Linked DNA regions of Oreochromis niloticus. The protein of the gene in region 3 purifies or fractionates together with the protein of the main gene of each other region. This does not show direct contact. Links are inferred from orthologs where the notes say so. Each region holds a gene or a part of one and is shown on either strand. Other genes may lie near its edges.

Region 1 (7,417 bases), on a different chromosome or scaffold from region 3:
TTAGTTAGAAAACAAGTCTGTGTAAATAAACAATAATAGTTTACTGAACAACACTGGATTCATTTTTATTAAACTGTAAACAGAAAAGGCATAAACAGTTGAGAATTCACATCTGCAAGAAAAATAAGTCTAACAGCCTATAAGGAGGAAAAGCACCAGACATATAAATGATGGTCTACCAGCAACAGCATGCCTCAAGAAACCCCATAAAATTAAGTACTCTATCTATATTATATGGACTCATTCCATTTCAGCTGAGTATACAACTCTGCTTTGCTTTCATTTCTCCACTCTAGGCACATCCTCAAGGAGCAAAGCCAAGAATGTAAGGCTACGTTCACACTGCAGGCGAAAGCGCATTAAATCCGATTTTTTTGACCCTATGCGACCCATATCCGATCATGGTATGACTGTGTGAACAGCACAAATCCGATATTTTCAAATCCGATCTGGGTCACTTTCGTATGTGGTACTGAATCCGATACATATCCGATGTTTTAGAAAGCGACTGCTGTGTGAACGGTCAGGTCGCATTAAATCCGTCTTTTACGTCACTGACACAAGACAGACGCCAATTATCAGCGCCGGAGAAGACATCGCGAACGCTTCCTGGCCATCCAGTGTAGATGTTAGTGAAACTGTTGGGAAGACAACGTGAACATTTTATTTGTACTGTATAATCTGCAGATTCTGACAGAAATCTGCAGCTATCCTTTGAAGCAGCGCTCCTCTAAAACAGCAATAAGGATCATTATTAGGTTATTTACATTATTATGTAAATAACAAAAAACTTAAAGCAAAAATTGGGAAACGTAAAGTCCGAAGTCTCTATATTAAGGGCCATCAGTCAAACAATACTGTTTGGTCTGGGTCTAAACAGAGCGCGTTGTGTGTGACATCTTCTTTTGCGCATGCGGGCCGCTTTGAGCGTTCACACTAGAGAGCGTTTGCTGTCACATTTTATTTATAGTGTGAACAAGCAGACAAAAAAATCGAATTTGATCAAAAGATCGGAATTGAGCATTAAGACCTGCAGTGTGAACGTAGCCTTAGTGTTCAAGTGGAGTTACAGAAGATGACCAAAACCCATCAAGCTAAATGCAAAGAAAGAATTCCCACAACTGTTACCTGTTTAAAAAAAACAAACAAAACACAGGAAGAGAAGGCAAAGGTGAGGCAGCAGGCACAGCACCCACACCTTCCACTTTCTTTTTCAGGTAGATTTTCCCTTACAAACTTCCCAACACAGCTAAGCTTTATAATGTTCACTACATTACACTGTTATTAATAATCATTTTTGGAATGTTTTACTTACTTTTACTTGACAAGTTCAAGTACCTGGCACACTGTTAAAGTTGTTGTGGTACGGTGACCTGACATGTAGTTACTTTTTTTGGGAGAAGGTTACAGAAAGTGGGGTAGCAGTTATGGTGTGAGTAATAACACAGACGTGACACAGACGTGTAATTGACGTGTTTCCAGATGCCCCGTCTTAAAATGTCAAAATTTCCCAAAGAATTAAGAGCATCCCAGTAAAGCAAAAGGTTTCTCAACCCCATTGGCCTCTCTGTGCAGACCGCACAATTTCCTGTTTACACACCTTCACAAGATGTTCCCCTCTCTAAAATATTAATGTTAATTAATTAGCCAAGCCACTTACCCATGAACTGTGGCCCTATGAACCTACACAAATCACGACGTTCATGGACAACTGCTGTTCCAGGTCAAAAAAATTAAAACTCATCTTACCAGAAATGAACCTACCTGTGGAGGATAGTTGCTCTCAGAAGACCACCTGGAGGACTGATCGTTAGGTTTATCCACCAAGATATTCCTAAACAAAAAGAAAGGGACAAGTATTTAGCCACTGTGGAATATTATCCCACCAAGTCAGCAGAAAACGCGCAAAGACAGCAGTGAAAAGTAGGGCCGAATACAGGTCTGTGTGTGTTCCGGAAGCTTATGACAGTAGATTTATCACATAACAAAACTACTTTTTGGAGTCACGCTACATTCTGTTAGAAGGCTCATTTAGGTAACTGTTGTTGTTAGCCAACTAGCATTAAGTCAGCTACTGCTGAACTGTTTACTGAGTGCTGAACCAGCAACAGGCGAAAGACGCGAAGCTATGGGGAACTTCGTTTATATTAGATTATAACATGGGTGTTGGCGTGAGCGATAAGTAAGTTTTCCTTTCGTTACGACAGTTTCAGATAGCCTATAACCAAGCTCATTAGCATAGCTGCTAAAGCAAAGCTCTATGGTTAGATAACAGCAGCTAGTTGCCTACTTCAGCTCTGGAGTCCAGTTAGCTAACGTGGACGTTCGTTTTTCACGTATTAAGATACCGAATTGTACACTATGTAATCAAAGCGTAAAATATTATACAGCTGTGACAACGGAAGTTACAAAGAATAACCTAGGCGTGTTCCAATGCCAAGCTTTTGGGGTTGTCACTCTGGAATAATATAACTATAAGAGAAGAATACACCATTCAGTTGCTTTGTTTACGTTTTGAGGTAACGCTCCAATTGATATCCTACACTGAAGTGGGAAACTGTCCCTTAGTTACCCACACATTTCACAGAAATCACTGAGCGTCATTTCATCACACATAAAGTACATCGTAAGCTACTGCCTCCAAGAAATGTTTAGCGGAAAGACAACATTATCATTATCGGGCGGCTAAATATCCGAAACCAAACGCCCCATACGGTAGCTAGCGCTAGCTTGCTTGGACCGCAGACAAGCTAGGCCAGTCGGGCAGGGTGGAAGAAACACAAGTGCGCCGAGGTGACAAAAGACCACTTTCCACCGCAAAACCTAATGTATACGCTGGGCCAGGGGATGGGAAAGATACTCACTCAGGTAAATATGTAGACGAGTAAGAGCTCCATTTAAAAACGCTGAAAGTGAGGACTCTGCTCTCGGGAGCGACAGCCATCTTGTTGCAGAAAATAACAGACAGCGGGAGGTTAGCAAGGAGCGAATATTGACAGCTCTTAAAGAGACAGTACACATATTTGTATTGTTTACGAAGCGTCCTCGGTAGCATGAACACACTGCACGATGCAGTTATCAAGTCAGCTTTTCATATTCATCGTAACAAAACTCGTATTTTTATAAATTATCTGGGGGGGTTCAAATATCATTTAAGCTGAAACATGTTAACTTAAATCGATAAAACATAAAAAGCGAATGATAATAAAATAATAACAATATTTTATTCCGGAAAAAATAAACATATACTGAGGACCTCCATGACATTAATGTGCTTTGAGGCCACAGGCCGATCTTCTCCGCCCCTCTCCAGCCCCATTCCTCCCAGTCTCTCGTCAGCGTGTTCCTAAATATGTACATCATCCCTAATTACTACACAGCTCCACAGCTTTGGAAGTAGAGTTAACCAAAACTCTTTAAACCTGATTCAGAAGTAGGGGTTTCAAAATAAATACATAAATATTAATAGAATAGAATAACGACCCCCACAGAAATAATAAGCTGATCATACAGTATCATACAGCTGACTGCAGTGTGTCCTCTCTGAAACAAAGACAGCAGTGTCCCTTTTCAAAAAGCACGTTTCAGGTTGAGCGTAGTGTTTTACTATATGTGAAGTCACTGAAGCTTAGAGAGTGGGTGAATCATCTGGTGACTAACGCGCTTTATTCCGGTTAGACACAGCAAACTCAGCCTCCTAATTTACAGCAAACACTTTGAAAGAAGATGACTCGACATTTTTCAGTATATAGTTGATTGTGTAGTGATTGTGATTTGAGCTAAACGCTATAAATTACCTCCACGGATTAACATACAAGTGGTCATAGCTACCATAACGTCAACCACTGGTTTTCTTGACTGGTTTTGTTGGATCACCACAAGCTGTGCTCTGCTGCAACTGGATATTTTACTGTCAGTTGACTAAAGACACATGGCAGCTAAGTTCTGTAACTGGATGCTTGTTCTTAACAGATAGGTGTGCCGACCTGAAAGCAACACTTTGTAAAAATGTAGAAAATAGTCTCTGAGATCAAAGTGATACCATCACTCGCTTTGTACCAACTAACACTCCAGCTCTTTGAATGATCGAATAGTTTGGGCTGGTTCGCTCTGCCCTATGCAAAGATTTTTTTAATGATGAAGGCCACACCTCGAAAAGCGCTGGTCACTTGATAAAGCTGTTCCCTGTCCCTATAAGTGTCCTGGAGTCTTCACATCCTCAGATCTTTGTCTTCTCCATGCACCTTGGAAGTAGGTGAAGTTGTGCCAGAATAATCTGTTGCTATCGAAGATTTTTTTTAAAGCAAAATCTCAGGCCTAACAGTGACTGGCAGGGGATAACACGGTACATGGGACTGTACATATAGAGCGCTTTTCTACTCTCGCTGAACATTGAACAGTGCTTTTCACTGCGAGCCACATTCATCCATGGACAGCAGCTTTTCTAACAATTACACACATACTGTAAGACTTCAGTGGATGCATTGGGGATAATGTCAGTATCTTGCCAAGGACACTTTCAAGATATGGGCTGGAGAAAGTCAGGGATTGAACCAGTGACTTTCAAACCAGTTGCTGACCTGTTCCAGCTCCTGCCTATTTAGAAGGAAAGCTGTAACATTCATATTTGCCTCGTCCCCATTTGAAGCACATGTTTTTGTAGCAAACACTTGGTGCAGTGAGCATATATTCGTCATTGGTATCCTTTTCCCCATTTGTTCCCCATTCACTTCACATGTGTTGTTTTATTGTCCGTATTAGTTTGAGTTGATATTCAGTTGCCACAGCATGCACTTCCTATCATGCAATTCAAGTTTTTTCAGTCTATTTTCTTTCTTATAAAGAAATCGAAGCTCAATTCCAGAGCGACAGTTAAATGGTGACTAAAACAATCAATACAAATTGTTGTGATGATGTTATTGTCATGATACGGCTGTGTGGCAGGCAGGATGTGGGATCCAAACGCAAAACACTCAGAGGAATAAACGTAAAGAGGCTGCTTCGTCGCAGTAGCATCATTTCACAAAACCAAAACTAGAAACTAAGAACAAAAACACCGGGAAACTTGGGACGGCAATCTCAGAAAAGCAAGGTGAAACACACAGCACGGAGAGAGGACGACAGAACAGTGACAGAGAAACACAGGCCTAAAATACACTGAGGGATAACAAGGGAATGGGACACAGCTGGGAGTGCTCACACATAACAAGACAAGGGGAAAGCAAAACTATACACACTGACACAAGAGAGGACTGTCAAAGTAAAACAGGAAGAATAGCACAGGGACGCGGACTTGATCTGAACGAAGGGAACACGGAGAGACGGGAGACGCGAATGACCGGGGAGGAAGATCAATAATAATAATAATAATAATGATGATGATGATGATGATGAAAATCAAAAAACCAGGACACTGGACTGTGACAGTTATGATATTTATAAGATAAAACATTTGAAATAAGTTTATAAAAGTGAAAATTCAGAGTTTGAGAAAATGAAAAACTAATTTGAAAAGCTTTGCTTCAACAGCTGCTAACATGTGGCGGGCATCTTTCATGCTTGGTCTTTTCTAGATTGGTTACTTAAAATAAACGAACCAATGATTGTTATTTTCGGCCTGATAGTTTAAAGCCTGAGTGAGCAGTGTGCACACGGCGATGGACGTCATGCTTTAGACTCGCAGTGCACTGTGGCTTTGCTGCATAAAAGGAACCAAGTTTTGCCGGCTGTGTCACTCGTTCAGACGAGCACAGAGCTCAAGAAAAGTAAGCAAGGGGGAGCCGAGAGGTGTCTTTTGTTGCTGAGAGTTGTAATCCACTCTAATTCAAACCACAGGGGGTCTGTGAGCCTCAGAGACCCCTGGACTTCTGGTATTTTCACACGGTCCTGACTGCCACCAAGTCTCTCCATCTCACTGCCGTACATAGACTTCAAAAAAGAGCTTAAGAGCTGTATGTACTGTTCCTAATCTACTGTACTCACTAACCTTATGGCAACTGCGATACAAGGTCTGCACCTTTATCAACCTATGTTTCTAATTTAGTCCAATATTCAACAACACAGCCACGGAGCAACACATCTGACACACGGATGAAGTTCTAGACTCTCATTGTTGTCCTTAGTATTCACCCATCCAACAAAACACTGACAGAGTCCAACAGAAGGCAAAGACAACTAGGTCACGCGCACCAAAGATGAACAGCGAACATGAGATAATAGAGGTGACAGCAGTTTGTGTCTCGTTTCAGGCATTTTCCTGAAGTCAGTGTAAGGCAGTAAGCGCTACATTATTTGTTTCTATAGCAATTTAATTAAATCAAACTTTGAAAAATCATGCTTTAAAGACATAAAGATGTACTAAATGAGAAACGGCAGCCCACGGCTTCCCAACATCGCCCAGTCTTTCTTTGGAATGTTTTTGTCAAATCTCAGCAAAAGTGTTAGTTTTTGATGAATCATCCACAAGTGGACTCCATCCAGGCTTGATGATGGTGTGCACTGAATGATAACAGTGTTTCTTTTAAGCACACTTCCAGCACTTGGCAGACCCTTACTTCCACTTACTAGAAATGGAAGGGACGCTTGTCAAGTTTCATGTGCATGGATGTAAACTGGGAACACAAGTGAGACGTGGTTTACCACTGTGGAACACAGGCGAGCGTGGATGTTTCATTTTTCTAAGTGTGGGTTAGATGTTGGGTCACGTAATCGTTGTCGAGCTGAAGCACGATGTTATCTGTTGTGTAATTGTTTGACAGGTACATTTTGTATTTGCAGTGATAATAAGTTGGGTGCTGTGCCTGTTAATGAGGGACTGGAAGAAGTTTGGTTTGTTACATTTTACAGGATGATACCTTAAAACTCGTCCATCTGAACTGAATATCTTTGCACTGGTAGAAATGCTGCGTTTGTTATAGACAGCACAAAAAGCTGTAAATAACAATATAAAGTGATGGCCCATAATGTGTTACAGCCAACATTAAGCAGACGAAGAGAAACATTAGCACTGACTCGAGGTTTGTTTTGCATCCAGTATTCATTATCCTGCGGTTCCTCGGCCTCTGCTTTCCAACAACTCTTGAGTGAAATATAGAAATCCTTAAGGAAGTGTTAATGCCTCGCTGCGTTAAACCGCCAGTGAGTAAATGTGTGTTTGTTGTACACAGTGTTTGTTAGAGTGTTCCCTGCTGCCTTGTTGAGAAGCAACATAGACTGTATATAAAGGATGGCTGTAGCCACAGCGAAGTCATCCACCAGTTTATGGAATATTGGTTTCAAGCATTAGCGTTTAGAGCTAGCGCTGACTAGCTACCCAGGTTGATGAGATGCATCTGTTAATGTGAAATTAAAAGTTAATTTTGTTTTTAAATATAACTTTAATGAATAACTTCAGTTTTTTAAGCTTTAATGCAGTTCC
Region 2 (7,788 bases), on a different chromosome or scaffold from region 3:
TCAGAGAGAGAGAGAGAGAGTGTGAGTGTGTGAGAGTGAGACACACAAACAGGACTTGTGACTCACCAGATTAACGAGGGGACCTCCAGAATTTCCAAACTGAAAAACAATTAGTCAAATGTGGCATTTAGAAACACGATAGGAGACGCCTGAGTCACTGAAAATACACTATCAACATATTCCAGTTTAAATATATTCTATTCAAGTACTCACATCAATGGTTGCATCGGTCTGTATGTACTCCATGTTGGAGTTGGACAGGCCCAGCTCCTTACTGCCTCTCTGCACTGAGCTGACGATCCCCGATGTGATTGTATTTCGTAACGAAAACGGGCTTCCCATAGCAACCACAAACTCTCCCTGTCGGACGTCAGACGACTGGCCGAGTGTGAGAGTGGGTAACGGGTTCTGCATATGTCAGGAGAGAAAGAGCATCTGAAATAAAGCTCTTTGTTTCTCTGTCTGTGGTGAAAGCACACATGCTAGTCTAGTTCCTTTCACTGAGACTGGCCCCTATTTTCTTGCTCACCCTCGCAGAGATTTTGATGGTGGCGATGTCAGTCACAGGGTCGACATCCTGCACGGTGGCATTATACGTCTCTCCATTGGTGAGCTTCACACGGACACCTCGCTTGTTGGCTACAACGTGGGCATTAGTGACGATGAGACCATCGCTGCTGATGATAAAACCGGAGCCGTTTGACACTGGGACCTCTCGCCCTGAGAACGGGTGTCTGTAAAGTAAATGCAGCTTATGTTACTGAACCTGGTTCATCAGGGTTAGTTTATCATGGCAGGAGATACAGTATTGTGCAAAAGTCTTGAGTCACCCCTCATTTCTTCATGTGTGTCTAGGAAAATGGAATATAAGTTCCTTGTTTTTACTGAAACGTGCAAACATAGAGTTACGGTATATGAGGCAAAAACAGTGTTTGTACAGTTCTAATTAGTTTTAAAGTTGATATTTGGTGTGATCACCTTCATTCATCAACACTCTCCAAGTTCTCTTGGAATTTTTTTGTAGTTTTCAGGAATAGTCTTTCTGTTTTTCTATTCAGATATGCTTGATTTTGTTTTACATCATTGTTATACTAAAAAAAATAATAATAAAAATAGAACTGTCAACAATAATAAGATGGATTGGCAGATGCTAACAGAAATGTAGCATCGAGATCTGATGCTACTCTTATGTTTGCGATTCCATAAATTTTGACATCCCCAACATCACAGGCTGAAATGCAGTGCACTGTGTTTTAAAGATGCATCTCTCAGGTCTTGTGTCAGGTCTTTGCTGGATTTTGTCTTCTTTTGACTTTCATTTAGACAGACTGTTAGACAGGCCTGTCACTTCTTCTTCTTCTTCTTCTTCTTCTTCTTCTGTTTTTTTTAAAAAAAGGAAGCGTCTTCCACTTGTCCAGGTTCCTCAATTTTTTTAAGGACACACTGCTGAGATGTGTCATGTTTTCAGCTAATAGCTTTTTGGAATCATCTTGATTCAAAAATACTACTTCATGCTTTTCAAACTGTTATCTTTGGCATTTTGCATAGATTCAGTTAAAGAAAAAAAACACTATGTGGTTTTTTTTTTTGACAAGCTGCAGTAACAAAGTGCCTAAAAACACAATTCAAAAACTGGTTCTCAGGCAAGTTGTCCATTATTCCTCCAATGAGTTAAGTGCCTTTTTAAATGTCACTTCAGCTTCATGCTTCAGCTTCATCGGCCAGCATTAAGTAGCTTAACAAACAAATTTAAAAAAAAAAAAAAAAAAAAAAAAAAAAAAAACTCTTCTGGAAAAAGGTCAGGTAAAAGGACTGGACTGAAAATAGGTAAAAGCAGATCTCCTTTATGAGAGCTGTTGCTCAAGGAAAACACACACACACACACACACACAGTAAAAGGTTATTGTGACACAAACAGTAAAGGTGGGGGCTGACTGTCAGGACTTTACCTGATTCCACTTACTGATAAAAACAAGACTATCCACTGCTAAAGTATATCAGCAGCTGATGATATTTTTTGAAAATAAAATCACAAATGCTTTGGGTCCTTTTCTGTTGCATCTGTAATAAACAAAAAAAGAAAATGCCCCTTTTCTCGTGTTTTCTGGTACATCTCCGGGCAAGTAAGATCAGCTTCTAGGACTGAGTGCTTATCTCCAGTGTGTGCTCACAGCTGTCTGAAATCTTGATTTAGGAAAATAACCGAATAAGTCACACACAGACACAGAAAACAAACTCACTGACATTTATTACCGTCAATGGCACCTCTCTAGTTAACTCACCTGCCCACGATTTCAATGTACACCACAGCTGGAGTGGATTTTTCCACCACATCTGCGATGAAGTTGTACTTAAATCGGGGGCCGTCTGGTTTGAAGGGAGAAGCGCACTGAGCCGATGGGAGGATGTGCTGGAGAAATCCCCGGGATATTGCCACTTCTTTGTCCCCCGTTAGGTCTTTTTCAGTGTCCAGAAGCGCAGCACCACAGAGCCCCAAACCCACCGACACGGAGGTGAGCAAAGAGGAGCTTCTGTTGCTGTCCCGACCGTTTCTTCTTCTTCTCTCCCCAGCTTGAGCTCTCCTGTCCGGGCTTGTGTGTCCTCCTGCAGCCTCGTGGTTACATATCACAGCAGAGGAGACACGACTGACTGTCCTCTCAGCTAACGAGTTAAGTCCTCGGGTCTGACACCAACTTTGAGTCCTTAATGCTGAAAGAAAGCCCCTATTGACAGCCGCTGCTGCCATGTTGCATCACTTTACTCGCTCAACGTCGGTTTGAAGACAGCCAAAAAGCACTTTATATCCCAATGTTTGCAGCAGTCTGTTATTCACGCGCCTTCATTTAAAGTGTACCGTTATCTAGCCCAGTTAGAATAACGGAAATACACAAAAAAATTCTCCACCTATTAATTTTTAGCAAAACACCCTCAACACGGTAATGTCACTAGTAGTTTATGATTGCGCCTGCGTGGTAAGACACTTTCTTCTTCGGTGCTGTTTTTTCCTCCCTGGACTTTTGTGGCTTCTGTACTCATTACTGCCCTCTGCAGGGGAGAAAATGTAGAGGTTAAAAAAATCACCGAACTATCTGTGAGTTACAACAGAAACGGTCAGGTTTGGCGTATTTTTTCATGTATATGCATGTTATCAAGATAGTAAAATTTATTTATTAAGCGCTTTTTACAGAAAAACTGTCACAAAATGCTGTACAATAAAAAGAGTACAATAAATAAGACCTGTGCATACTAATTGCGTTATACTATTCTCCTTAAGTACAAGTACCAATGGAAAGTTGCCACATAAAATAAGTTGCTAGGCCTATGAATTATGATATATAAATTAATTAAATGCATAAAAATTTCCAAAATATTATTGCTTTTACAGTTAAATCCTTAAAGTTAAGGAAAAGCTGTCTGAATCTAATATTGTTTTCTTTTTTTATTATTTGCTATGCAAATAAAGACTTTAAGTTAATTGATTTTACTCTTGGGGAGCTCTTATCCACAAATGGAAGGTGGTTAGACTAATAAATGGCTACAGTTAAAGAGAATAGAATGTGTGTGTGTGTGTGTGTGTGTGTGTGTGTGTGTGTGTGTAAAACTAGAAGAATTTAATAATTTAAACTACATGATAAAGAACAAATATAAGTTAAAATACACAAACATATCAATTACAATATATGCAATACATATATACATATACATACATATATCAACTCAACAGCAAATATAATTTTTTATTTTGGAAAATTACAAAGTGAAAGAAATTCACATTATGTATTTATGTTTTCTGTATGTATCACGTGAAAAAGTCATCTTCTTTTTAAAAAAATCTTCATAAAGAAATTAATTATGAGTTACTTTTCTGAAGTCATATCACAATGGTTGTCATTTTTTTAGTCTTAAATGTAACTGACTATTTTAGATTGAATTATATTGAATATTATATATGTATAGTTCTTCGTTTATCCATTTATTATTATTTACTCATTTTTTTTACATGCTCAACCTTTGGTGAGTAATAAAAGTATCATATTTATTTGTATTTTCATGTTAAATAATAAAATATATATTTTTTTAAACTTACAGAATGCAACGTTTTCAAACTTTTAAATAAAGTTTTTATTCATAAAAACAAAACTCCAGAGATAAGCGGCAGTGTTTAAAAATAAATCACTTTTCCTGGAAACTTGGGTCCAAATGGGATCCTATTGGTGGCTCAGCTGGTTAATAAAGAGGGACAACTACTTACTTACAATGACTTCATTGCACTATATAATTTTCCAATCAGTGTTCAGGAATTCTCAGTGGTGCTTGGTGCCATACCCTCAGGGACTCTAATGTTATATAAAAACACTGACAGCTCAATATCTACCTCAGTCACTCTCCCTGATCCAGCTGAGTCACCAATAGGAAAAATCTGCTTTTCACAGGAACTTGGTAACAGCAATAAGAGAATACGTAGTTTATTCCAAGAAGATGTCGTCTCTCTCCCATATGTAATATCTTACTGGAACCGATATGTTCCAGATATCAAGTGAAAGACAGTCTGGATGATCCCCCATAAATATTTGATTGTAAATAAGGTGAAGGAAGTCTCATTTAAAATTCTACATAAATGTTATCCAGCCAGTCACTACATGGTAAAATTTAAAAGAGACATAAATGCTAACTGTACTTTCTGTGGGGATCATCCAGAAACTGTGACACATCTTTTTTTGGTACTGTTCTTTTACACAGAGATTCTGGAAGGAATTTAGCAGTTTTGTTATTGTCCATATTTTAAGGGAATTTTCTTTACGATGGGCAAATGTTTTATTCTGTTTCTTTAAGTTCCCCAAGAGGAATGATAAATGTTTTTTATGATAAAATTTGTTAATACTTTTAGCTAAATTTTTTATCCATAAATGTAAGTTTACTAACAAAACACCATATTTCTGTCATTTTTTTAAGGATGTGGAAATGTATATACAATCAATATCAGACTCTACCAACAAAAAGGCTCTCAAAACAATATATATCTGTGAATTTTTGCGTGTATTCTTGTAACTTTTCACCCCTGGCTTTGTGTGTTCATGTTCTGTTGTTTTGTATACTTCATCTGTTCGTATACTCATTGTTTGTTAAATAAAGTTTAACAAAAAAAAAAGAGAGAGAGAGATAAGCGGCAGTGACGTACTTGTTGTGAAAGTACGTCACACGGTTTGAGCCAAAGGCGGCAGAGATGAGAAATTTAAAATTTGCGGGCTAGCTCGTTAGCTGCTAGCTCACGTCTCGGACCTATAATCAGGTAACTTCAGCTCGAGAATCATGGCTTCGTATCTTGATTTATTACAACAGACAAAACCGCAGTTTGAATCTCCGGCCAAAGTTTTTGCTAAGCTCAAATCCAAGGTGCAAAAGGAAGCGATGTGCGCAAAAGACGGCAACGGTCCGCCGAACAACGCTCGAGAGGAGCACAGAGTTAATTTAAAGTCGCCCAGGAAGCAGCAGCAGAGGATCTGGGTGACCGACGAATTCGATGAGAATCAGAGGTTCGGCAGCGAAGCCCAGCCTTTGATCCTCTCGCCCATTAAGAGTCCACAGAAAACCTCCCTGTGTTCGTATTCAGACTTTATCCGCAAGTCTTTGGAGGAAACGCCTCCAGTGGTTGAAATGGGACTTGGATGCACAAGAAGCGAGAGACGTTTCCTGGAGTCGACAGCCGTATCTCACCCTCTCTTTCTGACTAATCATATCCACAAAGAACCTCCTCAGGTCAGAGACTCGGATCGGTTCATCGTGTCCAGCAGGACTCCGTTGAAGGTTCAACCTGTCGAAAGTGACTGCAAGAGCATTGCTTCTGATGAAGAATGCGCTCCTCTCCACCAACCCGTGTCTACAGCCAGTGCCTTTTCCCCGATGGTGAAGAGGCTGAGGAAGAGAAAATGGGAGCAGCAGGAGTTTAACAAAGTCAACAGCACTGAGGAGGTGAGAAATGAACTCACATGTCAGCCTCGGCAAAGGAAAGCCCCTGCTCTCAGCGAGGAGAACACCCACAGCACCTGGATGAACATCAGAGGATGCTCTGCTGACCAACCAGAGAGGATCCCCGAAAACATGTTTACACCAAGAAAATTAGTCGCAGAGAGACGTGAGACATTTTTTCCTGCCTTTCCCCACCTTACATCAGAATATAGAGGTGTATAGAAATCACCTGGTAGACGCCTACAATAGAATAATAATAAAATATTTCTTCTGTTTTGAAACAGGCTGTGGTGTTGTTTTGGAAAAAATTCCTATAATGTCTCCAGCTAAGATGTTTGCTTATATGAAGGAGAGAGAAAGCAAAAGGGAACGGCGGGGAGTTCATGAAGTTATCAATACCACGAGGGACATCTTTAATGCAGGTGAGTGTGCTATGGTGTTAAAAAAGCAGGACATCCGGTTTAAGCCGTTTCTATAGATATAGTTTGAGTTTTCCCAGGTCACTGTGCACAACACACCTTTGCTTATGGCACAATATCTTTCTCATAGTTAACTCCCTTAGGTCCGGAGACAGTCCTCTCTCCACACCCCACAGTGTTGCTGAGAGGGACAACAGCGTGTTTACAAATACCTCAGAAAGTGATGTTCCTGTAAGCCGGCGCATATCAGAGTCAGCTGACTGCCAGTCAGACGCCGACCCCTCCGCGGACGCTCTGACCTCGGCTGTGTCGGCGAAGCCCGTTTTGCTCGAAGACCCGCTTGTGCTCAATTCTCCGCAGATCTTGGTGCCGAAGAGACAAGAGGCTGTGTTCAAGTGCAACAAGTGGCCTAAGCAAGCGACATTCCCCAGCGTGAGTAAAACAAATGCCTCTTAATGAAATATAAGTGAACAAATGACAGGGCTTGTGTCGGTTGAGCCTGAAAACTCCAGCTCTTTGAAGAAAAACAGCTTAGATTACTGATACATTTCAAGAGCAAATTGGAAAAATAGGTCAGCGGCAGTTTGCATTTCCCTATACGAGTTTTCTCTGGTTCATCATTCTCCCCTTGTTTCCCTCCTTTGGCAGGAGAGTGTGATTTATCTCAAAAAGTGGTTCCTGAGGAAAAACAGCAAGGGCCTCTTTGTTGATGGAATCCATGGGTAAGTGTTGTTCGATGTAATTTTGAACTTTGTGAATGAGGAGAATGACATGATGTCACATTGCTTTTCTCATTCGATACATATTTAGACATTAGACTTAGACATTTTTTATGAGGTTCATTGTTAACTGCTGTCTTTTCCTCCCAGGGAAGACAACATACCATGGAACAGTAATGTCATCATGCACAGGGTTTCTAAATCTATGATAAAGACCATCTCCGGCAGGGTTTACATCCTGGTTGGGAAGATGAACTTAAAAGTTGAATCTGGTAAGCTGACTTGAACCTTTTTCCAATTGTGCGTGGGAAGAAATTAAAAATGGATAAAAAGATGAAGCAAAGCTGCACAGAGAGTCTTATGCATGGTATTACATGGATTTACTTTTTTTTTTTTTTTTTTTCAGAGTTTCCCAGGTGGTTTTTGAAAAAGTTTGAAAGGGGTTTTCCTCCTAACTGGAAGGCGCTTTACGACAAGATGCTGACAGAGTCGAGAGAGTAAGAACACCAATTTCACATCCCTGCTCTTGCAGTCAGTAGATTGTGTTAGTTTTTGCAGGGGGATTGTGACTAAATTAATTATTTTTTGTATAATTTGTCTAGATTGATTGTTGTACACCTTTGGGCTTGGTTAAGACCTAAATTTTGTTTTCCTGTAGCAACCAAGGCAGAGGAAGACAGAAG
Region 3 (6,952 bases):
TCCCCGCCCGACCTGTGCATAGATGTCTGTGAGACCCAACTTGGCGCAAAGCTCGGTGGTCTGAGGGTTGGTGTTGTAGCTCGGGGTGGCCTGAGGATGGGGCTTGTTGGGGTTGTAGGATGGCACCGTTAGACTGAAGTTGTCTGGAATGCCAAGATCACCGCTCAGATCCTCCACCACCTGCATCATAGCGGCTTCTGAAGCGCTGAAGTCCCACCTGATGGGTGTATGCAAGCCAACATTATAAAAGAAAGCATGAACAAAAACTGCTCAGTCATAATGAGTAAAAGCATCTGAAGCAAAGGTCAGCAGAAATGACAAAATAAAAGTTCTGTTGGGTGGTGGTGCCACTGAACTCATGCAACTGTGGTGTAGTTACTTAGTGCTGGGTTCAGACTACATTATATTTCTGCCTGTCCATAAACCAATAACATGGCAGCTCATTATTAGGCTACACAATACTATCTCCCTGTATGGACGCAAAGACACTATGTGAAGTATTGTTTTGGCATCACTGAAAACATGCATTGAGCTGATTTAAGCAAATATTGGCGTCCAGAGAAATCTTTCCTTCTGCTTTATTTTCGTTACCATCTACACATACAAATGTATTTCCATGACTAAGCAGTGTGACACACTACAAATTGCTCCGCGCTCAGTTGTGCTTGCTGGCTTTGGGAAGAAGGAAAAGAATGAAAACCAACAGCTGAAGCAGTGAGTTTCATACTCCCTCTCTAACTTTCACAGGTCTAACTAGCTGCACCAGCAACTTCATTCTTGTTCTGTCGTGACGTTGTACACAGCTGAGCACTGTAGTTTAAAAAAAATTCCAGTGACTAGCTCTAGTGCTCCTATTGGTTATTAACGTTTTACTTGCGCTTCAAAAAATCATAAAAGTGGCATTAATTTGTGGAGAACATGTTGCCAAACAAAACATGCAAATATCCAACTTGTTTTTCCCATAGAGCTTATTTTTGTTGCTTATTTCGCCAAGGCAACACAGGTGGTGATAACATCCTACACAGATCCTGTCTTCCAGAGTGACCTTTCCCCTGCTGCATGACACTGACTCTATGTTCAAGCTAATGTTTTTACAAAGTCTTAGTTCTGGGAGACTGATGTTGTTGAAATAATGCAAGCAGCAACTTAACTCTGCTTTTACAGGCCTTGTTACTTTTATGTGTATTCGTGTGTACCGTTCATGCAAGCCATTATTCTCTGGGGGGTTCCAGGGGTGAGGAGTGGTCCTCTGTAGAGTGTTGGTAGCCTTGAGAATAGCAAGCCACTCTGGATCATATTCAAGACCCTCAGATGAACCTGGTCTTTCAGGAATATCCACAATCTGAAAAAACAAAAGGTGTTAGCTCACACACTTTAACCCAGACTCTGATCCTAATATATCAATTAAAAAAAAAAGTTGTCCCACCTGTAAGAATTCCCTGTGGGGCAAACATTTATCCAGAGACAGGAATTTGGTTACGTGTGGTGCACTTTTACCTTTAGGCTGAAAATAAGAGATCACCAAAATGATAGTTAGAACGATTTAAACCTTATTTAAATCCTTATTAGCAGCAGTAATTCTAACTGAACAACTGTCACCCTCACCGGATGCTGCATAATGGCAGCAAATTTCACATGAAGATGCGCAGAGAACCAATAGCTAGGCTGGAGGTGAGCTAGGAGCTCCTCTGCAGCAGGACTTCCCAGAGAGTTTGACTCCACCTCCTGACGAAGGAATTTCTTCTTTCGTAACAGCTCCTTCGTGCTGCCGTAGTAGTAGATTCCACGAGGCCAGTCATGGCTCATGAAAATGTCTATGGGCATCTGGATCTTAGCAGAAATAATCATGTAAAATTAACACTGTACATTTAGCTAAACAAGTGGATAATCATTTAGAGTTCTGTGGAAGAACTTGTGAGATTTACCTGTTTTAATTTGAAAACCTCGATATTTCTGATGTGGTATGCACTTCGAAGCGTTTCAGGATTATATGGAGGGAATTCATGGTGGCCTTAAAGTGAAAACATTCCATGTAAATATGATGCATAGCAGTGTAGCCTCAACTATTTGAAAAGCTAAACAAACAAAAACAAATACCCTTTCTGTAGTCACGTGATTTGAAAATGCCAGATAAGCCACCAATTCTGATCCCTTTGTAGCGAATAACACCAGCATAACCTGGGGACATGTGATTATATAGGTCAGGCCTGTGGCGAGTCAGACAAGCTGGCAAACAAATTTGGAATCAGTCAGTCTCTACCTAGATAATAAATGTTTGGTGCCACCCAGCCTCCATAAGGCAGCTCTTGCAGGTGATTGGAAGCCTCGTGGTTTCCTCCAATGAAAATGGTCAACACCGGAGCCGCCTTCTCTCCAGAATAGTACCTGCAACACAGACAATAATAAAGTTTTAAATGTCCTTACTCGTGTCTTTGATTTAAAAAAAAAAACAAAACACACAACATAAACAAAGAACTTACTTGTAAAAGGTCTGCATGGTTCTGTACTTGGCAGGCACTGCCATGCACTTCAAGTCTCCCTCATTTCGCACTGCCTGGAAGTCTCCACAGCAAAGCAGCAGGTCCACCTTCACCCCTTCCTTCTGCTCCAGATACTCAATTGTCTCATAAATCTTGTCCAGCTCCCCATGGCAACAGCCTTCTACTGCAATTTTCATCCTGTGCAAACAGATGATCTGCCAACGTGCAGAGAAATTCACATTCACACTAAAGGATGGCTTCTGTTCTCATCTAAACACCATCGGCCTCTGTGGACACAGTCAAGCTGAGGTCCACGGCCTCCTAAAAGATGATTTGGCAGTCTATAAAGACATACAATGGTGATGATGATTACTTTCACTTAACACACAATTTCGCTAAACTCTAGTTCTAATATACATTTCAGTTGCGATTTTTTTTCTCACATCTAGTTGGATTATAGTTTTAGTTGCCCTTTAATCACACAGTGGAAAGGGACTTTAATAACCTATAATACGGTGTTGGATTATCTTAAACAGTGCTAATGAATTACCATGTGACTAAAGCTATCCAGGAGCAATCGGGTAGACACCCGTTTAATTTTAGCGCGTGAGCAGAGCTCCTGATGGACTGTCATGTTTCATTTTTCTAGAAACAATAAATTAAATGAAAGGTATGCGAACTGAAGATGACCCTAGCACCTTTTTTTAACACATTAAAGACTCAACAATGCACGCTGCACCGGGGGGTAGCCCTTGAATACGTGCAGTAAGTAGTGCACGACACTTTTTATTTTTTATTTATTTTTAATCTGACAAATGTGTCCCATCTTGCTTTTAAGAATCCTCTACTTCGTATCCTCACACTAGGAGCTCAGGTCCTACGATACAACACGCAACAGCTAGCTAGGCTACGTAATTAAGCGAAACAACTCGACAGCGTACATGGAGGAAATTTGTTAAACCAGAGCAAAGTAAACGAATTGAGTACTTACAAATATGGGAGTATAATTAACGAGTATTTTGAGCCGGTTTATAATCCATAAAGTTGCAAACTTGTGCAAAAAAACATGCTTATGTTTGTGGAAGAAACGAACAGAATGAATTTTCCCACCTCGCCTCTACCAATACGAGCGCATGCGCAATTCTTCATCAAATTCTAGTATCTAGCAGTAGATTCCATTATAAATGTGTAGAATTATATTACTATACTTGTTGCTAAGACTTGATTTAAAAATATATTGTATTTTAAAAATTACCGTTTTTATATTTATTCCTTAATCTGATGCATAGTTCGCACGAGTCAACCTACTGTGTCGAATCAAATTCAAGCAGACAGCAACTACGTCACGTTTATAAACAATATTTACTTTATTGACAAGTCCACGGTCTGTCAGAGAGCTCGCTAAGTTAGCGGTGTTGGTTTTTGTTGCATATCTGCTACGGGACATCACAGCTGAGCCTACGGAAGAATATAGAGGCCTGTTTTAGAAATAACGCTAGCGAAGAGTTGTGTGATTAGGCTACAGTTACTTTTTAAAGGCCTCTCAAAGCTGCTCTGGGGGGTGGAGTGTCTCCAGACTGCTGCGCCGATTGGGGCGCTCCATCGGAGGAAGAGAGATGGCGTGCTTATTGGAGGCCCCACTCCGCATCAGTGTGCTGTCTGTGAGTGCCAGTCTTTATAATTTCAACTAGCAGTGTCAGGTTATAGAATGCAAGCGCCAACTGCGAGTAGCTGATTTTGTATGGTCAGCTAGAAGGTGTCAAGTATAAAGGTTTTTCTGTTAGCCATAAAGCTAAGTTAAAGGCATTGCAACATGTAGCGGTCCGCCTACGTAGCTGTTGTAGAGAATGACTTGTTTCCTCGCGTTCCCCGGGCGGGCGGGAACATTCTGAACACAATAAAGGGAATACATGCGAGTTGTGCCCGCTCGCCCCGTCGTTGTAATCTAAAACAAAATTAAGCGAACAAACTAGCTGTCAGTGTTACTCGGAATGAGTTAGCAGCTAATTGCTAAGAGTACCAGTGCTGTCACCAGTTTTGCAGTAGTCAAAACACGTTTATAGAATGCATCATGCACATTGGATAACAAGTTGTAGGAATGAGATTTTTATTCAAACCACTCAGTATTATTTGATTTTAAGTTATGCGCCGTCTTAATTGCAATAGCAAACTTAACATTGTTAACCTAGCTAACGTTAGGTGCTCCTGCAAGTAACATTAGCAACTGTAGCATACGGTTAAGCTAGCGAAGCAAACTTTGCTAACTCACTGGTTTCCTTACTCTTGAGGTGTTTTTATATGTAGTGTGTCGGCAGTCAGAGCTGTAGTAACTGGTAAGACTCTGGGATTTACTCTAGCAAGTGACACTCACTGCAAACTGTAACTTGGCTAATATAACGCAAAATGTTCCACGAAAAAGCGCGTAAGGAGCAATAGTGAAACGCCCCCCATGGTAGGTGTATGCAGAAAGGAGGCAGCGTGATTGAAGATATCATGGTAACTGATACTTTAGCATCTCAGCTTGACTCTTTTTTTTTTTTTTTATAACACGAGTTGATCCCTTATTGTGTATACATGCTTAATGCTGTGTAATTGTGAAATGAATGTTTGCCACAGTGGCTGTCTGAATGAGAGGTACACAGGTACAGAACGTGTTGGGACACCTTGTGAGCTACGTGCTGGCATCACAAGTGTGACTTCGTTGGCAGCTGGAGGACGTTGACTTCTCCGGAAAGTTCTGGTCAAAGCTGCCAGTGATATAAACAAAGTTTTCTGGTGTCGCATGCAGCCACCGGGTGCAGTGTCAAAAAGCTTTTAAAGGCTCCTGCCGTGGAGCCTGCTGTATTTTTCTCTGCGTGTAACACAAAAAGTGTTATTTTAGTTGTAAAAAATAACAATTTAAAACTGCCCTTTTTATGTATAATTAATTATTGTTTATTTAATGGTTAATATTTGTCCAGTTAGAAACCAAATTCCGTAGGGTTTTACTCTGCTGAAATATGTGCACTTTGTCTGTTGTCAGATGTGGAGCACAGCGTTTGATAGTGTAGAGAAAAAACACTGTACAAGGTAAATCCAGGGTGAGGTCAGTGATTTCTAAAAGTAATGTTTGTGTTTTTGCTTTGTTTTTTGTTCTAATGCAGGAAGTCACCGCCACCAGTCGGCATTATGTTGACAGACTGTTTGACCCCGACCCACAGAAAGTGCTTCAGGGAGTCATGTAAGTGTGGGTCTGATCGCGTATGACATATACACATGTAGATCAGGGTTTTTCCTGTGTCAGAATAGTTCTTATGTGAATACACACAAAAATACTGTCGCACCTTATATAGGTAAGGCAAGAAGTCTGTGCATCTTATAGAGTTTTTTTGTTTTTGTTTGATGCACAAAATGCAAACTTGTAAATTAAAGTGAAGTCTTACATATATTTTTTTCACAGTTTTCATTAATTCTCTTGGTGAAAGGCCAAAACCTGTTGGGTGGGTGGAGACATTGCAGAAAAATCTCTGCGTGTCCTGTTTTGTTTGTTTTTGATCTTGTTTTAAATTTTGTTTTACAAAGTGCAGGAAAAAAGGGTTGACAAGGTTTGAAGTAATTTTTTGGCAGTAAATGACAGCTGTGAAATTCTGCTTACTTCCAGTTTGCAGACTTTATTCAGCCACTGCAATAACACATCTTTGGGCTTTCCTGATTTTTTTTTTTTTCTTTCTTTTTTGTTGAAAATGAACGAAATCGGTGGTTTAAAACCCCCCCAAAACAAACAGTCCACACTGTTATGTTAAATTCAGCTGTTGTTGTTGCTAAGAGTTTAATTCCACCGGCTGTTTATCATTTACCAACACATGTGCTTGTTTTTAATGTCACAAATTCTAAACATTAGTGACAACAGTGTTCCAGAAGGAGTGTGTGCTTACATGCACAGGCTTAGCTGTTTGTGACTTTGTGTCTCACTCTCACTCTTGGTCTGGACTGCTGTGATTTGGACTCGGACTATTTAGTTATTTTTAACTTACGGGGAGACTAGCTCTGGTTACGACTTGTATCGCTTCTTTAGCCAAGCGCCTGACCACCTTAACTGCCTCCTAGATCAGTGTGCTTTTCCACTCACTTCGCTGCAGTTTGATATCACATATCATCTGGAGGTACTAACAGCAGCAGAAGCACACAGGGCGAAAATGCACTTAGATGAAGCCTGTTCATTTCTAATGTGTTACATGAGAATATGTAGAACATGAGATTGATATCAATGATTTCTGTTGTTGTTTGTCTGTCAGCCTGCCTGACCTGTGTCAGCCTGATGTGCTTATAACTTAGCAATTAAATGATAACATGCTATAAATCAAGGTGTTCATATTGACTCTTAAGGTTATATTATGTTGTTTCAAATACATTCACATGTCTCATTTGGATGTATTTGTATGCCTTCACAGTGACATGAAGAACGCTGTCATAGGAAACAACAAGCAAAAGGC
Region 4 (7,766 bases), on a different chromosome or scaffold from region 3:
TGTGCATGCATATGTGTGTATGTTTCAATGTATATCTATTTTTATCACCTAGACTCATGGACAGGGAACATGTTGCTCTCAGGGGCATCAGAGGTGACTGGTTCCTCTTGTTGCTGGGACTGAATGTGGCTTTGCCACTGGGACCCACTCTCATCAGTCTGAAAAACATTTTGGTGGCAATGTTTGGTCGCTACTTTTTTTGTCAGTTTACGATGACATTTTGCAAATATTATTATTTCCTCCACTCTTTATGTCAAGCTGTCTCTAACGCTGGAATAGCAGTATCGATCTTCTGGACCCTAATTTATTCATATTTAGGCTCTTTATCAGCTTTATCAGGTGACATTTATTAGATTAGAGACAAATATTGACACACACATTACATTTATTAGAATATTCATAGGATTGAAAATCTGTTCAAGTTCTACATACGTAAAGTACCTGGACAGAGGTTGAGACGTGTGTCTTGGCCTGCATGCTGCCTCTTTTGTGGAGTTCCAGCAGAGTGTCATGCTCACTCTTTAACTGATCAAAGTCGTCCTGGAGTGTCTTCAACTTCACAATAAAAAGAAAAAAAAAGTCACCAAAGACTGTTGAGATGTTAAGTCATGAAGTCTACATATAGTATCCAGCATGAGATACCTGTAGCTCGGTCCGTTGGTGTTTCTGTTCAAGGGCGTCCCAGTCACACTGGGGCACAACACCCCAGTACTCTGCATTCATCCTGTTCAGTTCCTCCTGGGCGTTCCTCAGGTCTTCTCGACACACCTTTAGAGCAAGCTGCAGTTCCACAGGATCCTTCCAATCTAAATGGAAACACATGTAAGAGCATGACACACTTCCCTATAGACATTTATATTTTATAAACATAAAAACATATGTTTAGCTGTGCTCTAGAGGTTACTGTACTTGGGTTTTTTAAAAATATAGATAATGTTGGCCTTTTCCATCTTTATGATGAGCCAAAGGTTCTCAAGGAGGTTTTCAAACTTTTTCTGGCATGCCCCACATCATAATCAATAATAATACAAAAAATGTTGGAAATTAGTGAAATAAAACTTAAAAGAACAGATTTTTGCAAACTTTCACAGAGTTAGAACTCTTTCTAACTCACCGTTAAAGAAACACTGTGTTAAAGGTGAGTAGCTAAAGGTCTACTATGGGCAGAAATTCAGTTTCTGATGGCACAGATTTCTACCCATAGTCTACTCACTGGTATTTGTTTCCAGCAAACAAGCACACTTCCCAAAGTGTAAACTATCTATTTCTATAAAAAACTTACAGAGTTATTCTCCATTACTACAATAGTTACAGAGAGTCTCTAGTAAGTCACTGGAAATGTTTCCTAAGGAATACCATCCAATAAAGATATTGACAGTTTCAACGTTTAAACAAATTATTATTTTCAGTATCACTTAAAGGGTATCAATTGTTTTTCCTTAATTTCCATCGTACATATACTGTTACTATGCCGACTCCTCATAATAACCTTCAAATCATTTGGTCAGAGTGTGAGAAAGTAATCCCTTTGATAAATAAAATAAAATAAATCAATTAATTAATCCCAATAAAGAATATGTTATATTGTCTTAAAACCATACACGTTTATTTTGGGAAGAAATCACATCTAAATTCCCATCTAAAAAAAAGGACCTTAAGTTATTTTCAGTTCACTGTTAAGTAGTTAAAGATGTAATAGATGTTGTTATAACTGTACTTTTGTCTGCAGAACGCTCCTCCTTCACAGTACTTTTTGTCATGTCATTGAGCTGCCAAATCAGCAACCTGCGAGCATCACGCTCCTCCCGGTACTGCAGATACTGGTCAGACAGTTCTGACTGCAGATGATCCACCTTAAGAGGAACAACAGGCAGTGGGGTGACTGATATGATAATGATGAGCTATTAATTGATGGATAAATTTCCTTCATGCGCAGGCTTGTGTGTATGCTTTCATGCCCTTAAGCTTTTATGCTTTCATAAAAACTTTCATGCCCTTAAAAGTCACATGTCTTGATGCATTCTCAATCATCCAGGTAAGTAAATCTCCAAAAGTTGATTCTGTTTATCTAGATGTAGCATTTTCAGTGGGAGAAACGTTTCGTCACTCATCCAAGTGACTAACAGTCACATGATTAATTAAACAAAAATAAAATTAAAAGTATGCCATTTACCACTGCCTGCACTGTCTTCTCTCTCTTTCTTATGGCTTCAATCTCTTCCTTTAGCTTCTGCTTCTCCATTTTCAAGGCAGCAATCTCAGCCTGCTCCTCTGCCCAGCGAGCTTGAATCTTTCTGTCACATTCCTCTGTCACCAGCCTCAGATGGGACTGCAGTGGTTCCAGCTTTTTGATTTGTTCTCCCTGACGAACTGAAAAGATGTACACAATGCATGCATTACAGCAAATAATCAACTCACTGATATAAAGTCTTTATACAAAGAAAAGCTAACCTATACAAACTCCATCTTTTTACTGAATAGACAATTAGTTTAAACTAGGTTAGAATAACATGTTGTGACCAACTCTTTCTATGCTACAATAGAACTTATCATTTTACTGCCTACACAGACTGCTAGGACCTTTTAGAAAACTATTGGAATCTAGTGGAATCCTTTCCACTAATTTTATTAACCTCTTAACCCAGATTTGCTCTCACAAATGCTGAGTCGAATCCTTACAACGATGAAGAAAACTGTATGATTATGTATAGGATGATTTAGAAGAAAACACTCAAAAATGAATGGCAAAGAGACAGAATAGTACCCAGAGAAGACTCAAAATTATTAATATAATTACTGAACATTAACTTCACTAAGTTTTGAGAAATTAATTCTGAATAATATTTTTTTGACAAAGAAATACATTGCCTGACTTTGCAAGGCTGGATGGAACCACACTGGTTGGTGTGTATTATGACTGCAAGAAAGGTCCTAATGAAATTATACTTTGCAGTCAAAGTAGGCTAGACTAAATACTAGGCTAAATACTTTAGCCTAGAATCCTCATAATATATTCCCATAACCATCCTGTCTCTAAAGAGATATCTACGTTGTTGTTACTATTGTACATCCTCTCTTTGCATGTGCATTTGAACCAATAAATTTAGTTTGATGTAAGACATTTACCACTTAGATGTGAGAGAATATTGATATTTATTATAAATATATAACTTAACCCTATTACCCTATTATATTAACCTATTACCCAAAGGTAGTATATTTTTCTGTTTTTCCCAAAAATGTTGTGGGATGCCATTTCTAATCTGGTTCAAAACCTTCTCAAATCTGCTATAAATTGTTTTTTTAAATAGCATTTTTATAAAATCTATACAAATCAGGCTAGCTTTCTAATAGAGTTACTGACCAAAGGTGTTTTCATATTCCTTTTTAATGGCAGACAGAAGGGGTTGGTAAGTTTTGAAGGCAGTGATGAAACATTCAAATGCATTGCGGTAGACCTGTAGGCAAAGTAGAGTAAGATTTTAAGTACTTAGACTGCAGCAAGAAAATACGTGTATATCTTCTAAACATAAATACAATCAACAAAAACATTTCACCTGAAGTTTCAGCTCCTGAAATTTCGGCTCATGTGGGTCGATAGCATGAAGCTCCTTGCTCACATAGTTCTCCAGCTGCATCAGAAGTTGTGGCTTTCTGTCTGGGCCTGCATAAAAGAAACTGCCTCCTGTCCAGCACTGCATGATTGGTCACACAAAGGCACACACAGTACTGTGAAAGGAACTTTGCTGTTACACTGAAAGATAACGTTTATAAAGATGCCATAAAGTTCTTAAATGATCTTTATACCAATGAAAAGAATTTAGATGTTGGCAGGACAAAGTCAGACTGCTGTTTGTGAAATGTTGCCTGATTTACGTACCTTTCTCGTTGCACATGGTTGGACAGATACACCACCAGCACTTTCCTCTTCATGTCCTTCCTCTGATTCCTGGGCTGTGTAACTTTGCAGATTGTGTTCATATGTAAGTCTAATATGCAAAGAACACAGTCAGTCTGCCTTAAACGTACTTTAAATAAGCTTTGAAATACAAATGTATTTATACATAAAAACAAACGTAGCATGATATTTGGTGTAAATGAAGTCATTTTATCACTTGCCTTGTTTTTTGTGACGGTGTTAAAGGTGGAAATTTTATATCTTTGTTTGGTGACATTTATAGCTTTGATATAAAGGGTAGACAATAACAAACACTTAGCCCGTTTAAAACTTTTGTATTTCTTCCGTTTAACTCAATGAGATCAGCTTTAGCGTCGCACAGCACAACATTTGTAGCAGGGTTTCCATGGTAACGATGACTGACTACGCAACAAGACCCCACGTAGTTGCCCGGTGCGCGCCTAACTAATTTTAAAAATGGCAATGATTTTATCTGCTCAACTCAATCATTAACTTTGATATATAATAACTAATATATGGCAACGTGTTTTATAAAGGCTATTTCACATATCTGCTATATTAATTACAATATAATAAAACTTTGTAAACAACACTGTGTTTTTATGAACAGGCACATATTTCGCCGTGGAAATAATACTGCTATTAATACTTAAAAAGACCCTGTCACTCACAAATAAATACAAGTTTCACCATGTAAAGTTCAAAATTAAATTATATAACGTTTTGAAAACGTGTGTAAGTTTAACAGACGAAAACTACATTTCCTAGCCACCTATCTCACTGGAAGGCCCTAAACCCGTCTGACAGTAGTGGAACTCTGTAGTCATTTCTAGAGACATTAGCATAAAAGCGAGCGTACAGCTGAACTACAGTACCCACACGACACTGTTTCAGCCTACAGTACATTCTGCTGCTTATCCGGGGATGTCACACCGCTGCTATTTTCTCCCCTCAGTCCCTCTCACTCTCAGCCTACAGCTCCAGCGGACTGACACTGGGCTTTGGATAGAAAGAAACGAACAATAAGATACAAAAACAGGAGGCCAAAAAAATGACAGAGCTCGGAGCGGGAAGCCTGCCGCTGGGAGATCCTGCTTTTAATTACCAGGAGCACGAGCTTAACGAGAGGCTGAAGCGGCTTTACCCGGCTGTAAACGAGGAAGAGACCCCTTTACCCCGATCCTGGAGCCCCAAGGATAAATACAGCTACATTGGGCTGTCACAGAACAACCTACGGGTCCATTACAAAGGTTAGAGACCTGGCTCATCACTGATGGGCCTAAGTGTGTAGTCAAAACAGCAGTTCAAATCTGTCTGTGTTGTTGCGGAAGGGGGGTCTCTCTCTCTCATACACACACACACACACACATACACACTCAGTATGCGATTATGTTGACTGTGTATGTGCGTGTGCAGTCCTGGTAAATCTAGTCTGAGCTGCCTCTCCTGTCCTGTAACCTTGCTTTGTTTCACGAATGAGCAGAGGAATGCCCAGATGGGTGACAGTGAACTCGCTAACCCTGGCCATCGGTCTCATTACCGTCACACTGAAATTCATCTTCAATATCATGGCTCTTCTTTGTTTATTTACTGTTTATGACGTTACTGCTTTGCAGTAAACTCACTGCATCTGACGTTCTCCTCGCTTTGTACTGGAAGGGGACACTGGCAGCACTAACGACGCATAGTTTATTGGCAAACCCCTGTCTAACTTACGGGAGCTTGCTAACAGAAAGCTGTTAACCAAACACATTAGTTAGCCTTGTGGCTAACCAGCTAACGTTAGCCAACTTAGCTGTTCCTGATATTGAATTGAGGACAGTAGGTTCCGAGGTGGACACCAACAGAACTTGTTGTTTTCCAGTGCAGTGTTAGTTGAAATATTAAAGCTGTACAGTGCTACAGCAAACAGGATAAAATGGCATTGTTTTGTGTTTCTCGCGTGATTTCAGAGCAGTGTTCTAGAAGTCTTTTCCAATCATTTTTTCCGTCCACCTCCATTCAGATCTGCGTGCCCCGAGCCTAACAACAGCCTCAGGTCCAGTCTCTAGCAGGCAACAGAGGTGCTGCCGTGAGAGAGGAGGCCTCTGCGCATTACATTAGGCCAAAATGCACCGTTCTGGTAATAAATCCGGAGTATCGACAGGCTCTGGCATTTTAACGTTAACAGCAACCTGACGGTTCAGTCAGTCTTTCATTCAGATGGATAAAAGCTGACAGCAGGGCTTTTAGCCGTCTCAATTTAGCAACCACCTATATCAAAACAAGGTGACATCCGTGTGACGGCTTCTGTGCTGTTCAGACACCCCCGACACACACACACACACACGCACACACACACACACGCACACACACACACACACACACACACACACACACACACCAAAACAGGAAAACACTACAAGACTTTAATCACACACTGTGAAAAATCCCAATTGATAGGCTACTTTGGGCCCTGTGTAGAAGGCGAGAGGATGCAGGCAAGATGTGTAATTCAAAATTAAGGTTGTGTAATCCATTTTGTGAGGTTTATGGAGTGGTGGTCCTACAGTTTGTAAATAGCAGGGAGGGCCTCTTATTTATAGACTCGGGCCTAAAGCCAGATACAACCGCAGATCATTTAATGCATAATTGATCAGGTCCCTGCTGATGAGCAGTTGAATATGAGCTTCCATTCAGTTTATCTGTTGTGTTGAGAATGCTGATTTACCTTTTGCTATAATCAGTGCTTATAAGATCATTGTATTCTAGTCTAGAATTACCTAACAGCTCTGGCACTGGCTCAAAGTGGTGTATTGCTGAGGATGAGTCATGCCATTTCTTGTTGAGGTTATGTTGGACATGGAGTCATTATGTCTATGAAAGGTGCACAGATTCAGTGACACTGCACTATTGTTAAGGCATGACATATAAATAGGTTTGTTCTGGAGTGTGTGAGATATTTTTTTCTGCTCCTGGTTGTTCCTGCTCTGTTCCCTCACCCTTGTGGTTTGGATGCTATTTTGACCAGCGTGCCAATTTTCTCTGTTCAAGGCCATGCAGTGTCTACCTAGTCCTGCTGCACACTGACAGAGATTAATCCTCGCAGCCTCAGCAGCAAGATAGATACTTAAACAAACTTAATGACTTTGTACCAATAAATGCAGCAAATGGTGTTACTTTTTACACCTCTGGAGATGCAAAGACAATTTTTTTATTAACTTAGAAATAAAGAGAGGGTTACAGTTGCATAGTAGGAATACATAGTAGGAATAAATATAATGTTCTGTAACACACCCTATAGTGTTTTCTTTGCACTTTTAAACTATTACACATATAATAAATTCACCCTGATGAAAGACCAAGCTGTTGACTAAGGATTTTGTTGGAATACTAATTGTTTTGCTGTAGATTTATGTTTTATGAATTACAGTAATCACAATGTCTGTGTACCAAGCAAAATTTTAACTGAACAGCAATTTTCAAAAGCAAATAGTTTCAAAAAAGTCAATTAATCATTTCTTTGACCTGTGAGAGAAGCACTTTAATATATACTGTGAATAACCATAACAGGACTGAAGTGGAACGAAAGGAATAGTATGGGATTTCAAATTCACATACTTTTCAAAATTTAGTTGAGCAAAAGGAAAGCCTTTATCTAAATAGGAGCATGATGATTTCAAACTACAACCCATTTTTTGAGCTATGTTGAAATTAAAGTGCACATATAGAGAAACCTACAGGCTGCTGCGGAATAGTCACAACTAAGGCCCCAGTCATTCTCTGTTGTGTACAGACACCAAAAGCTGGAGTAATAATTGCTGTTATACTTCTTTGAAATCAGATGTCTGCGTGGACCCTTGCGCTC

Evidence for each region.
Region 1: the proteins of armc8 (region 3) and mkln1 purify together in Homo sapiens (affinity purification with mass spectrometry; 4 studies listed by BioGRID and IntAct, with this or other methods). This does not show direct contact. The link is inferred for Oreochromis niloticus from reciprocal best matches to the Homo sapiens genes ARMC8 and MKLN1.
Region 2: the proteins of armc8 (region 3) and serine protease HTRA2, mitochondrial purify together in Homo sapiens (affinity purification with mass spectrometry; 5 studies listed by BioGRID and IntAct, with this or other methods). This does not show direct contact. The link is inferred for Oreochromis niloticus from reciprocal best matches to the Homo sapiens genes ARMC8 and HTRA2.
Region 4: the proteins of armc8 (region 3) and ranbp10 purify together in Homo sapiens (affinity purification with mass spectrometry; 5 studies listed by BioGRID and IntAct, with this or other methods). This does not show direct contact. The link is inferred for Oreochromis niloticus from reciprocal best matches to the Homo sapiens genes ARMC8 and RANBP10.

The regions. Positions count from the first base shown.
Region 1 is NC_031981.2:37,619,912-37,627,328, forward strand, and holds the start of mkln1 (muskelin), read right to left. Parts: upstream 3,010-7,417; 5' UTR 2,945-3,009; coding exon 2,865-2,944; intron 1,835-2,864; coding exon 1,765-1,834; intron 1-1,764. UniProt on the Homo sapiens protein: Component of the CTLH E3 ubiquitin-protein ligase complex that selectively accepts ubiquitin from UBE2H and mediates ubiquitination and subsequent proteasomal degradation of the transcription factor HBP1.
Region 2 is NC_031983.2:11,985,864-11,993,651, forward strand, and holds the start of serine protease HTRA2, mitochondrial, read right to left. Parts: upstream 3,008-7,788; 5' UTR 2,747-3,007; coding exon 2,283-2,746; intron 735-2,282; coding exon 530-734; intron 409-529; coding exon 214-408; intron 100-213; coding exon 67-99; intron 1-66. Other genes in the region: mis18bp1 (mis18-binding protein 1), read left to right, coding at 5,311-6,133, 6,252-6,389, 6,517-6,818, 7,035-7,108, 7,256-7,377, 7,512-7,602, 7,764-7,788.
Region 3 is NC_031987.2:32,721,780-32,728,731, forward strand, and holds the start of armc8 (armadillo repeat-containing protein 8), read left to right. Parts: upstream 1-3,932; 5' UTR 3,933-4,096; coding exon 4,097-4,141; intron 4,142-4,454; exon of another isoform or gene 4,455-4,929; coding exon of another isoform or gene 4,930-4,932; exon of another isoform or gene 4,933-4,940; coding exon of another isoform or gene 4,941-4,976; intron 4,977-5,623; coding exon 5,624-5,700; intron 5,701-6,910; coding exon 6,911-6,952. Other genes in the region: dbr1 (lariat debranching enzyme), read right to left, coding at 1-217, 1,197-1,342, 1,427-1,504, 1,606-1,830, 1,926-2,011, 2,098-2,178, 2,261-2,385, 2,481-2,695 and 1 more. UniProt on the Homo sapiens protein: Component of the CTLH E3 ubiquitin-protein ligase complex that selectively accepts ubiquitin from UBE2H and mediates ubiquitination and subsequent proteasomal degradation of the transcription factor HBP1.
Region 4 is NC_031972.2:6,977,685-6,985,450, reverse strand, and holds the start of ranbp10 (ran-binding protein 10), read left to right. Parts: upstream 1-4,747; 5' UTR 4,748-4,970; coding exon 4,971-5,169; intron 5,170-7,766. Other genes in the region: tsnaxip1 (translin-associated factor X-interacting protein 1), read right to left, coding at 49-158, 442-555, 643-806, 1,718-1,853, 2,174-2,370, 3,365-3,458, 3,558-3,695, 3,881-3,989 and 1 more. UniProt on the Homo sapiens protein: May act as an adapter protein to couple membrane receptors to intracellular signaling pathways.